Regions from separate parts of the Mus musculus genome. Here region 2 is reported to be linked to region 1. Evidence: microRNA targets listed by miRTarBase, many of them from high-throughput screens and not tested one by one. Region 1 holds a microRNA gene; the other region holds the end of a gene's coding sequence.

Region 1 (5,516 bases):
AACTATTATTCTTTTGTGTGTGGAGGTCAAAGCACAACTTTGTGGAGTCGGCTCTCTTCTTGCATGGGTTCTACGGATGGAAGGCAGGGAGCAGAACCTCTCAGCGAGTTTCAGACATTTAAATGCTGGGTTATAATCCTGGACAACAATTGGTTCAACTGCTCAGTTTTGACTCTTGGTAGCACTTACCATCAAACTTAGGTCACTCTGAGCTCTACAACAGCACATCCATGCTCCAGGTTCATCCAGTAGTACTAAGAACCACCCATTTCCTTCCTCAGAAGTTGGATCCCTTAGTTAGTAAATGGTCTTTGCACCAAAGTCTAGGTAGAACAGGGAGAGACATGGCCATGCGTGTGCATGCCTGGTGAGTCCTACCTACTTTGTCTGTCTGTCTGTGAATGAAGGGAGACTTCCTTATACCACTGGAACCTTTGCTAGGCCACAGGTTCTCATACTTAACTGTCCCAGGCAGCAGGATAGTTAGACAGAGTTGAAGACAGGTGACAACCCACATGCTATATGTATTTTGTTTCCTTTGAATTAATTTGTAATTAAGTTAGGTAAAAAAATCAGTGCAGCTAACAGACACCATGATCTCCCAGTAGAGTCAGTCATTTGTCCCCAGTATGATCTGGGACAAGGTCTAAAAAGCTTCTGCTGTGACAGGATGGGGGTAGTGGCTTCTGGAATCTAGTGAATACAAGCCATGGGAATTCACTTCCTTTCGTGCTCAAGAGGCCCCCAGAATCTCAGTCCAGCCTCATGAGACCAGTGGCCAGGCCAAGGGTACACATGACTAGAGCTAAGGACCCCAGGGGATCCTTGCTCAGAGAGCAGCTGCCCCTTATCCAATTATGTTTTCTCCCAGAGTCTCTCCTGACACATGTGGTGATTTTTGCAGTTCTTGATGCCAACCATTCTCTCCCACTAGTAACACAGCCAGGAGAGTCTTACCTCTTTGTCAAGACAATGGCTACAGACAAGGAAGAGGGTGGGAAGATGAGTGGCAGGTAACACTAAGAAGGAGGCTCAGTGCAGAGGAGTGTTGGAAAAGCAGAAACAGCAGGCCTGAGGACAGCGGCCTATGGCTGGTGAGTGAGTAGCTTGTTGGGGCTTCCCAAAGGAAGAGAACTGAAGTTTATAGAATTCATATCTGAGGGTTTTACTCTAGCTTCTGCTCACGAGACGGCTGATACACAGCCTCCCATTTGGGCTTCACAGCCTTCACTCCCTGTTTAGTGCTTAACCTGCACTATTGGTTTGAATCTTCTTCAATGTCTCTCTATCCATCCATCCACCCACCTACCCGCGCATCTATCCACACACTCATCTGTTCCCCCTCCTACCCCCCATCCCTCCCTCCCTCCCTCCCGCCCTCCCTCTATTCAGAGTTTACTGTACTCTAAATGAAAGGTGCTCCAGCCCTCTTGCAGTTGAGTTAAATCTAATTAATGGGAAGAGACACTAAGAAGCAAGATCAAGCCAGGTGTGTGCTAGAAGCAAGCTGGTGAAGTGGGATGAGTGATGGGCACACCAGGCAGAGCTGGGTAGAGCGCAGAGCACAGATGAGAACAACACCAAACAATCTTTCTTCGTGAATTTATTAGGCAGATACTGTGTCACACTTGGGAGAGGCTGGGTGTGAGTAACTCAAAACTGGGTGCCTGACACCCTCCCCCCCCAGCTCAGTCTTACAGGGGTGGTTCACCAAAATGCCTTCTAGACTGGACACAGCAGTTTATGCCAGAAATGCTGGAGTCTAAGGCATAAGGATTCCAAGTTTTAAGGCCAGTATGGATAATTCAGTGAGATCTTGTCTCAAAAATAAATAAATAAATAAATAAAAAAGGGGGGCTGCCATGAAGACCGGTGTGGATCTGACTGATGTCCATCCCACTCCTGTAGGAAAGAAAAGATAAGTGAAAGGAAAGCAAACAACCACATCAAGGAAGGTCTGGTGCTAGGAAGCAAGTTTCCCAGCCAAGGATACAGAAGAGTAGGGAGATACTACACAAGGTGGTACAAGCCCAGGGAAGCAGGGCACTATTAGCCTAGAGCAGACAGGGTGGGGTCAGGTCTCTGGTACCCCATGAGCACTAACTGGGGGGCAGGACTAGTCTAGCAGAGGCTGCCACTGGGATCAAGCCAAAGACAGCAAGCATTCTCTAGAGCCCCAAGGGACTACTTACCATGCGACGCTCTGCGGACACCTTCAGGAGAGCCTCCACCCAACCCTCTGAAGCGAGCACAACAGGATTGAGGGGGGGCCCTCCAGAAAGGCCCTCTTGTCACCTTCCACATAGGCTGTTCTGTGTGCACACAGATGGAGATCCCCTCTTAGGGGCCCTGCCTCTGTCTCCCCAACCCCAAGACCCTAGGAGGGTCTCTTTCTGTAGTCTCGAATGCCCACTAACCTGGATCTTGGCCCGCTCACCCGCTTCCCAGCTACGTGCGCTCAGAAGCCACTGCATCGACAATGGGAAGGTGGCAGTCTTAGTAGTAGGCTCAGGGCATTATGACAAGACCTCAAAGTTCTCCATGGCTTTTAGAAACATCTATCTCTGACTCCACCAGCTACCTTGATGGGTGGGGGAACTTAGAGGATGAGTTCCGTGTGTCAACCAGCAACATTCTCCTGGAGATCGGAAGGAAGCTGTTGGCCCACTCCTAAGCTGAGAGAAGGCTAGTTCCTCCCAGTCATAAAACTCAAGGGAAGAACAGCCCTCCTCTGCCAAAGGCCTGGGCCTCTTATGCCTCTTGGTGTCTCTTTCAAGCACGGCAGGAACGTCCCAGCCTACCTCAAATAGCTGTGGTGCTCAGGAAGCAGTCAATTGGGCAGGAGCTAGTTAGTGGGGGTCCAGAGACACTCATCTCATGGCCAGATCTGTCTATGACCACTCCATCCAATGGACTCACTCACTTGCATGTAGTAGCACAAAGAGGGCCATGGTGTGGCAAGTATCCTGTACAGTAAACCCTCTTGTTCTATCAAGGTGCCATTATGAACCAATCAAACCATTTCTAAGCAGCCCTGTAGATTCCCACGCTCCAAGAAGGATCCACCTTGCTGGGCCTCTGCTCCAGCAAGACCCACCTCCCAACTCAAATGCCCCACCCCATGGGTGCTGACTGGGTCTCTGTGAGGTGAAAAATCAATCCATACCTGAGGAGGAAGAACCCCCAAGTTCTCCTACTTAGCAAACCTTTTCCTCAGGACTGAATGTTGTGCTCACAGCAGAAGCAGCTGAAGAAGTGCAGGCTCCAATCCTTGAGGCTCCCCATCACACAAGGCTTCAAAGGCAGGACTGTGCTGAGAGCTCAGAGGTGCTTAGAACAGAGAGATGGGGTAGGGAATGTTAAGACATAAACAAAACAGACACACAGCCGCTAAGGTCATAGTTTTAAGCTCTTCAACTTAATGGTTCTGTCCTAGTAGCCAAACAGCCATCAGAAGACATATTTATGGGCAATCTTTTGGCTACTGTCTGACCATGTGAGACACAAGAGCCATGTTTTTGAAAACACAGGTCCTTTTCTAATGAATGCAGGTCGTTAACGAAATAGGCTTGGAAGTCATCTTCTAAGGCCTTTGTCCATGACCCTAGACAAATCATCTTCCCAGAGTTCACTTGTACGGGGCCCTCAGCCAGGGCAAGCACTGAGGACAAGAAATCAAGTCTAGAGACTTCAGAAAAGGCTTCCTTTCTCTTTTCTGAAACTCTTTGGTTGAGCAGAGAAGAGAGACGGAGCAGAGCCATCATGCTCCCACGGGTGCAGTAGAGCAACAGTGGGAGGCAGAAGCAAACAGAAGAACAGTGAGGCCCATCACAGAAAGACACATCTGATGGACACCCACCCACCCTTGATCCCAACCATCAACATGGACAACCAACCCAGGCACCCATAGGTAACAAGGCTGGGACAGCTGGGGATGGTGTCAGGCCCAAGAGCTGCTCAGCACAGAAGGGTCACAGGAATCCTGCGCTAAGTGGCTCTCAGAAAAGGGGTGCATCACCACCAAGCTGTGAGGGGCTGAGGTACTTTGTACTCCCTCTGAAGTCCTCCCCCCAGAGGAAGAGCACAGTTTTAGTGTGAGCCCTTTGCGGAGTCCTCTCCCCTCTGTGCAGTTGTTCCCAATACATCTGACTTGGCGGCTAGAGATGTGGCTCCAAGTGTTGGCCATATAAGCCCCTTTCCCATCACTCAGAAAACAGAGAAATGCCAGGAGGTACACGTAGCTCTCCAGGCTGCCAAGAAGGTGAGCTGGTGACTTTAGAGGTGCTGCGAGAGAAGCTACTGTAAGCGGGCCCCATCATCTTCAAGGACACTCTAGAGTTGTTCCTTCAAAACTGTGTAGCACTCAGTCCAGCTCTCAGCTGCAAGGAGAGAGGATGCTCTGTATCTTCACTTGGGGTGGATGTCTGTCTTATCTGTCCAGCAGACTACAAAGACCCATCCCTAGCTACAGGCTGAGTTGCAAAAGAGCTGAAGATCCCACAAGTACGAGGGAGGGTGCCTCTTGCTTACACTGTCAGAGGCCCCAGAGAAAGCCTCTCTGACTTGACCGTTTCGGTGAACATTGCCCCAAATCCTCATTCGAGGGTAGCTCAGACCTCCATCAGCCCCAGTCACCCCTCAGCTTCTGCTCACATGAAGAACCACTTGACTCCTGAGTGTACCAGAGCCCCTGCAAGGGCAGCTAGGAGCCACGAGCCACTCCTCCAAGTAGACACCTCACATGTGGCCCTCAGTGCTTGTTAAGTGTGCTCCTATGTGCCTTCCTATAGCTCCCAGCCAGCTCATCCCAAACCTATGCCCTCAGCCCCAGCGGCTATCTCCCTCACAGCTCTGCTGCACCGAGGTCTCTGATGGCCTAAACTCAGCTCAGCCTAAGTATCATCTTGGACCCCCTTCAAAAGGCTTTTCAGTGCCCGCCAGGGTTGGAAAATAGGCTCTGGACACCAGCTACCCCCTCAGTCAGAAGCGGGCTTGACTCCTACTCCTCAGCGAGGTGGCCCTCGGCAAGTTGGGAGCTCGGCTGCAGCTAGGCTTCTCTCTAGTTGCCATGAAGTTGAAGTGAATTAAATGAACACGTAGTCCCCCAAGGCCTAGGCCTCTGCGCTGCAGACTCTACAAACAGGTCAATAAGAATGAGGCCTTCTGAATTACTAAGGCTGAGCTTGGAGCAATAAGCAACTCACACAGCGACATAGTGACACAGTGCCATCCTGAAGCCCACAGGACTTAGGCCTTGGGAGATAGGGATCAACCAAGTCTCACTGTTTCCAAGAAAAATACCTTTTCCCAAGAAGCAAGACTGAGCCGGGGAGAAGGAAATGGAGGGAACCCAGGAGACATAGGGTAGAGATGAACACAGGAGCCTCCTTCCCTGTCTGCTCATATGCTGAGAGAGGCAAGCTGCAGATACCAGGACCTTCTTGGTGACTTCTATCCTCTCTATGCCAGGCTAGGCCCTACTCAGTTGGGGTGAAGGGAGGCCCAGGGACAGACAG
Region 2 (5,000 bases), not on the chromosome of region 1:
CCCCCTCAGCAAACCACCAAGTGGAGGAGCAGCTGGAGTGGCTGAGCCAGCGCGCCAACGCCCTCCTGGCCAACGGCATGGATCTCAAAGACAACCAACTAGTGGTGCCAGCCGATGGGTTGTACCTTGTCTACTCCCAGGTTCTCTTCAAGGGACAAGGCTGCCCCGACTACGTGCTCCTCACCCACACCGTCAGCCGATTTGCTATCTCATACCAGGAGAAAGTCAACCTCCTCTCTGCCGTCAAGAGCCCCTGCCCCAAGGACACCCCTGAGGGGGCTGAGCTCAAACCCTGGTATGAGCCCATATACCTGGGAGGAGTCTTCCAGCTGGAGAAGGGGGACCAACTCAGCGCTGAGGTCAATCTGCCCAAGTACTTAGACTTTGCGGAGTCCGGGCAGGTCTACTTTGGAGTCATTGCTCTGTGAAGGGAATGGGTGTTCATCCATTCTCTACCCAGCCCCCACTCTGACCCCTTTACTCTGACCCCTTTATTGTCTACTCCTCAGAGCCCCCAGTCTGTATCCTTCTAACTTAGAAAGGGGATTATGGCTCAGGGTCCAACTCTGTGCTCAGAGCTTTCAACAACTACTCAGAAACACAAGATGCTGGGACAGTGACCTGGACTGTGGGCCTCTCATGCACCACCATCAAGGACTCAAATGGGCTTTCCGAATTCACTGGAGCCTCGAATGTCCATTCCTGAGTTCTGCAAAGGGAGAGTGGTCAGGTTGCCTCTGTCTCAGAATGAGGCTGGATAAGATCTCAGGCCTTCCTACCTTCAGACCTTTCCAGATTCTTCCCTGAGGTGCAATGCACAGCCTTCCTCACAGAGCCAGCCCCCCTCTATTTATATTTGCACTTATTATTTATTATTTATTTATTATTTATTTATTTGCTTATGAATGTATTTATTTGGAAGGCCGGGGTGTCCTGGAGGACCCAGTGTGGGAAGCTGTCTTCAGACAGACATGTTTTCTGTGAAAACGGAGCTGAGCTGTCCCCACCTGGCCTCTCTACCTTGTTGCCTCCTCTTTTGCTTATGTTTAAAACAAAATATTTATCTAACCCAATTGTCTTAATAACGCTGATTTGGTGACCAGGCTGTCGCTACATCACTGAACCTCTGCTCCCCACGGGAGCCGTGACTGTAATCGCCCTACGGGTCATTGAGAGAAATAAAGATCGCTTGGAAAAGAAATGTGATTTCTGTCTTGGGATGAAGTCTGCATCCATCTCTTTGCGGAGGCCTAAAGTCTCTGGGTCCAGATCTCAGTCTTTATACCCCTGGGCCATTAAGACCCCCAAGACCCCCGTGGAACAAAAGGCAGCCAACATCCCTACCTCTCCCCCGGAAACAGGAGCCTAACCCTAATTACCTTTGCCCTGGGGCATGGGAATTTCCCACTCTGGGAATTCCAATACCTGCTGGGAAAGTACTGCAGTTCTTTCCGGCTGTTGTGGCTCCCATGGAGCTGGGGAGGAGCCACATTCTCAGGCACCTGAATCACAGCCAAGGAAGAGCCGCAGAGCTTCAGGTGTCTAACTGCGCACCCTGCACCATTCAACCTGCCTCTGAACAGACAGAGCGGGCATGGTCCACGGAGAGGAGACCTAAGCTCTATCCCTGCTCCATGCTGGGCTGGGCTCAGCCAGCTCTGCCTTTCGGTCACCAGCCCCTTTATTTTTCCAAACCTCTGAAGATGAGTGAAATAGTTTTTAAAAAGACACAGGGCTGAAAATGTGACTCTGTGGAGCATGTTGGGGTGAGGGTGGATGCTCAGTGTATGGGATACCCTGAATTCAAAACCCAAAGCAACACAACAAAGAAGGAGCCATTGCTGGCTTTGGTTTTCCAGTGTTTCAGACAAATGATGAATGTATTGAGGTGGGTGGATTGGAAAGAGAAAAACACCTTGTTTAAATGCTTTGTTGTTGTTGTTGGTTTTTAAATTACTTAATCACATATGCAGGCTTGGATTTGATCCCAACACCAATAATAATAATAATAATAATAATAATAATAATAATTTATTGTTGTTGTTATTCAATAGTACTTGCTGAAGCAGGCAAGGCCGACTTTATTCAGAATTAGTTATTGGTGCAGAGACTTGTTGTAGAGTGTTCAATGAGAGCAAGTGGGTCTTAAGAGCCCCAGCAGGGTGGGCGTTAGGGGGATGGCAAATGACTAAGAGGAAAGAAAAATCCGGGGTAGGGGGACTTTGTCTAAACAGATCAGACAAGACGCCTGTTGAGACAGGCCAGGTGAGCAGACATCACCTCAGGGGCTGCACGGGATGACTGAGGGTGATCCAGTCTAGGAGAGGGAGCTTGCTAAACCGACTGAATGGGGCTTTTCACGAAAACTAGGTTTTACAAGGAAGGCAATGACTAGGTATAGAAGATTCTGAAGCCTGACTAGACTTTAGCCAAAATTGGTCACCCTCTCACCCCACTGGAAGGCTCTGTGCAGAAGGTCCAAAGCACATAAGGAGTGGGTGTGTAGCCATGCTTTTAATCCCAACACTTCGGAGGTAGGGGCAGGTAAATTGTTGAGGGCTTCAAGGTCAGTGGGAGAAGGAAGAGGAGAGAGAGGAAGAGAAGGAAGAAGAGGAGGAAGAGGAGGGGGAGGAGGGGGAGGAGGAGGAGAAAAAGGGAAAGAAGGAAGAAAGAACAGAGAAAAGAAGAGGAAAGGAAGGGAAGGGAAGGGAAAGGAGAGGAGAGGAGAGGAGAGGAGAGGAGAGGAGAGGAGAGAAGAGAAGAGAAGAGAAGAGAAGAGAAGAGAAGAGAAGAGAAGAGAAGAGAAGAGAAGAGAAGAGAAGAGAAGAGAAGAGAAGAGAAGAGGCTGGAGAGATGGCTCAGTGGTTAAGAGCACCAACTGCTCTTCCAAAGGTCCTGAGTTCAAATCCCAGGAACCACATTGTGGCTCACAACTATCCGTAACAAGTCTTCTGACTCCCTCTTCTGGAGTGTCTGAAGACAGCTACAGTGTACTTGCATATAATAAATAAATAAATCTTTTAAAAAAGAGAAGAGAAGAGAAGAGAAGAGAAGAGAAGAGAAGAGAAGAGAAGAGAAGAGAAGAGAAGAGAAGAGAAGAGAAAATGAAACCCCAGTGGGCTCTTTGTTGGTTGGGCCTTCCTGCACCCGTGTAGAGAGGGAAAAACCAACCACGTGGTATGCTGGGGTGGGGTGGGGGGTAGGGGTGACCCACTGGGGTGACCTAGATAGTGCCTGGGTCCCCCTCTGCCTCCTCCAGCCATGGCGTGGGGGGGGGGGGGCTGCTGTTACTCATCGTAGGGGCCTCCCACTTGCCCAACTTTGTGTGAACCAAAGGTGAAGACATTCCATTTCTAGAAAGGACCCCAGGGCATCGGCTTCCTCCTGGAACTCCTCCTCCTCGGACACAATCCCCTCCCCCACCCCACCCCTGCCATTTTCAGCTCCTTTGCTTTCTTCATTAGTCTGCCCCTTAACGTGCCTGCGACTGACCTGCTGCCCCTTAAAGAAGGGCTGTCAGAACCCGTGGTGGTCCATGCCTTTAGCCCCAGCCCTGGAGAGTTCCAGGTGACCCAGGACTATATATGAGACCCGGACTATAGATAGATAGATAGATAGATAGATAGATAGATAGATAGATAGATAGATAGATAGATAGATAGATAGATAGAGCATACATCCATCCATACATACATTACATACATACTACATACATATAACCTATCAGGCCCAACTGAACTGATGGGCCCAACCCACGGAGCTTTGTTCCACAGTCTTTGTAGTTTTTCTCTCTGGGAACGAATCCTGCCTACCTTCTCCTGTTGGCTCCTCCTCACAGAGGCAGAAGCCAGGAGCAAGGGTGTATGTGAGGGGGTCTTGTGGGGACCAGGTCTTTGCTACTTTGTGGATTCTTTCTCCCACCCTTTCTCGCCCTGGTTTCACCCCCTAACACTAGATAGGATAGAAATAAGGATTAGGAAAATCCGTGAGTCTAATATCTTTCCTTTCGTTTCTTCTTTGACCGACCCGCAGCTGCTAACAAACCTCAACCAACCTCCCTAACCTTTCAGCATCCTGGCAATCAGGGTGCTGGCAGAAGTCTCAGGGTTTAATTGTCCCTTCTTCCGCCCTCTTGGAGCCCTGGCCTTAGAGCCAGGACGTGGGTGCAACAGGTGTCCACAGTTCAAAGCTGGGTCAGCCACACCTGCACGTGTCCCAGAATCAAAAACCACGTCTGCATTTCCGTGAAGACACTGGCAAGGGCCGGCATAGTTTACATTCTTTATTTTCAAAATTCGTGTCCTACATTCCGTTCTCCCCCCCCCCCGCCACGCCCCCGGCCGCTCGGGACTGTCGGGGTCCCGGACATCACGATTCACACATTCGCACCGTCAGTCGATCCTCCAGGAATGAATACAGATGGCTGTCACCCCACCATCACCGCCCCGAAGAAGGTCTTCCCTCTCCTGTAGTCCACCATGTCGGGGTGACTGATGTTAACGTAGACCCTCTCGCCGCTCCGGAGCTGCGCCAGGCCGCCGAACCCCACGCTCGTGTACCATAACGACCCGTACCCGATGGGGTCCACAACAGGTGTGACTGTCTCCGCGCCCTCCAGCAGCAACTCGGGGGAACCTCGCCCGTAGGCGCCCCCCGCGCGGTACAGGGCGCTGCGCAGCGTGAGCGAGCGAGCACGGCTTCGGCCGGCAGGGGGCGTCCTGCCCCTGTACCCGACGTGGCAGTAGAGGTAATAGACGCCGTCCTGTGGCAGCGCCAGCCCGTGGGTGGGGGAGAACTGCGCGCCGCTCCTCAGAAACGCTTCTTCTTGGCTCGCCTCCCAGCTGAGCCCTTGCCCACTCATCCAAGCGCCTGCAGAAAGGGACACGCGTGAGCGCTCGGGCCGTGATCTCTAGGTCGGAGACCCGGGCAGGATGAGCAGGGACCTGGAGCGGAGGAGCGGGGTCTTCCTCCTTCTGTGGTACTTAGCGGGGAGGGGCAGG

The links. Region 1 holds the annotated microRNA mmu-miR-296-3p (GAGGGUUGGGUGGAGGCUCUCC, at 2,219-2,240, opposite strand). A microRNA usually pairs through its seed, bases 2 to 8, with sites in the 3' UTR of a target mRNA and lowers its output. Matches are read on the target gene's strand: a 7mer-m8 pairs with bases 2 to 8, a 7mer-A1 pairs with bases 2 to 7 and ends in A, and an 8mer does both.
Region 2: the mRNA of Tnf is a reported target of mmu-miR-296-3p. The part of its 3' UTR that is shown has no 7-base or 8-base seed match.

What each region holds. Positions count from the first base shown.
Region 1 is chr2:174,264,840-174,270,355 of GRCm38, forward strand. Mir296 (microRNA 296) reads right to left here and starts at 2,286; the gene lies at 2,208-2,286. Mir298 (microRNA 298) reads right to left here and starts at 2,746; the gene lies at 2,665-2,746.
Region 2 is chr17:35,195,573-35,200,572 of GRCm38, reverse strand. It overlaps Tnf (tumor necrosis factor), which reads left to right. Exons shown (of 4, transcript NM_013693.3): 4 at 10-1,206. The coding sequence ends at 428. It overlaps Ltb (lymphotoxin B), which reads right to left. Exons shown (of 3, transcript NM_008518.2): 3 at 4,268-4,869. The coding sequence ends at 4,427. Among named protein-coding and RNA genes, the nearest start is that of Mir6973a, 3.1 kb to the right of the region's middle.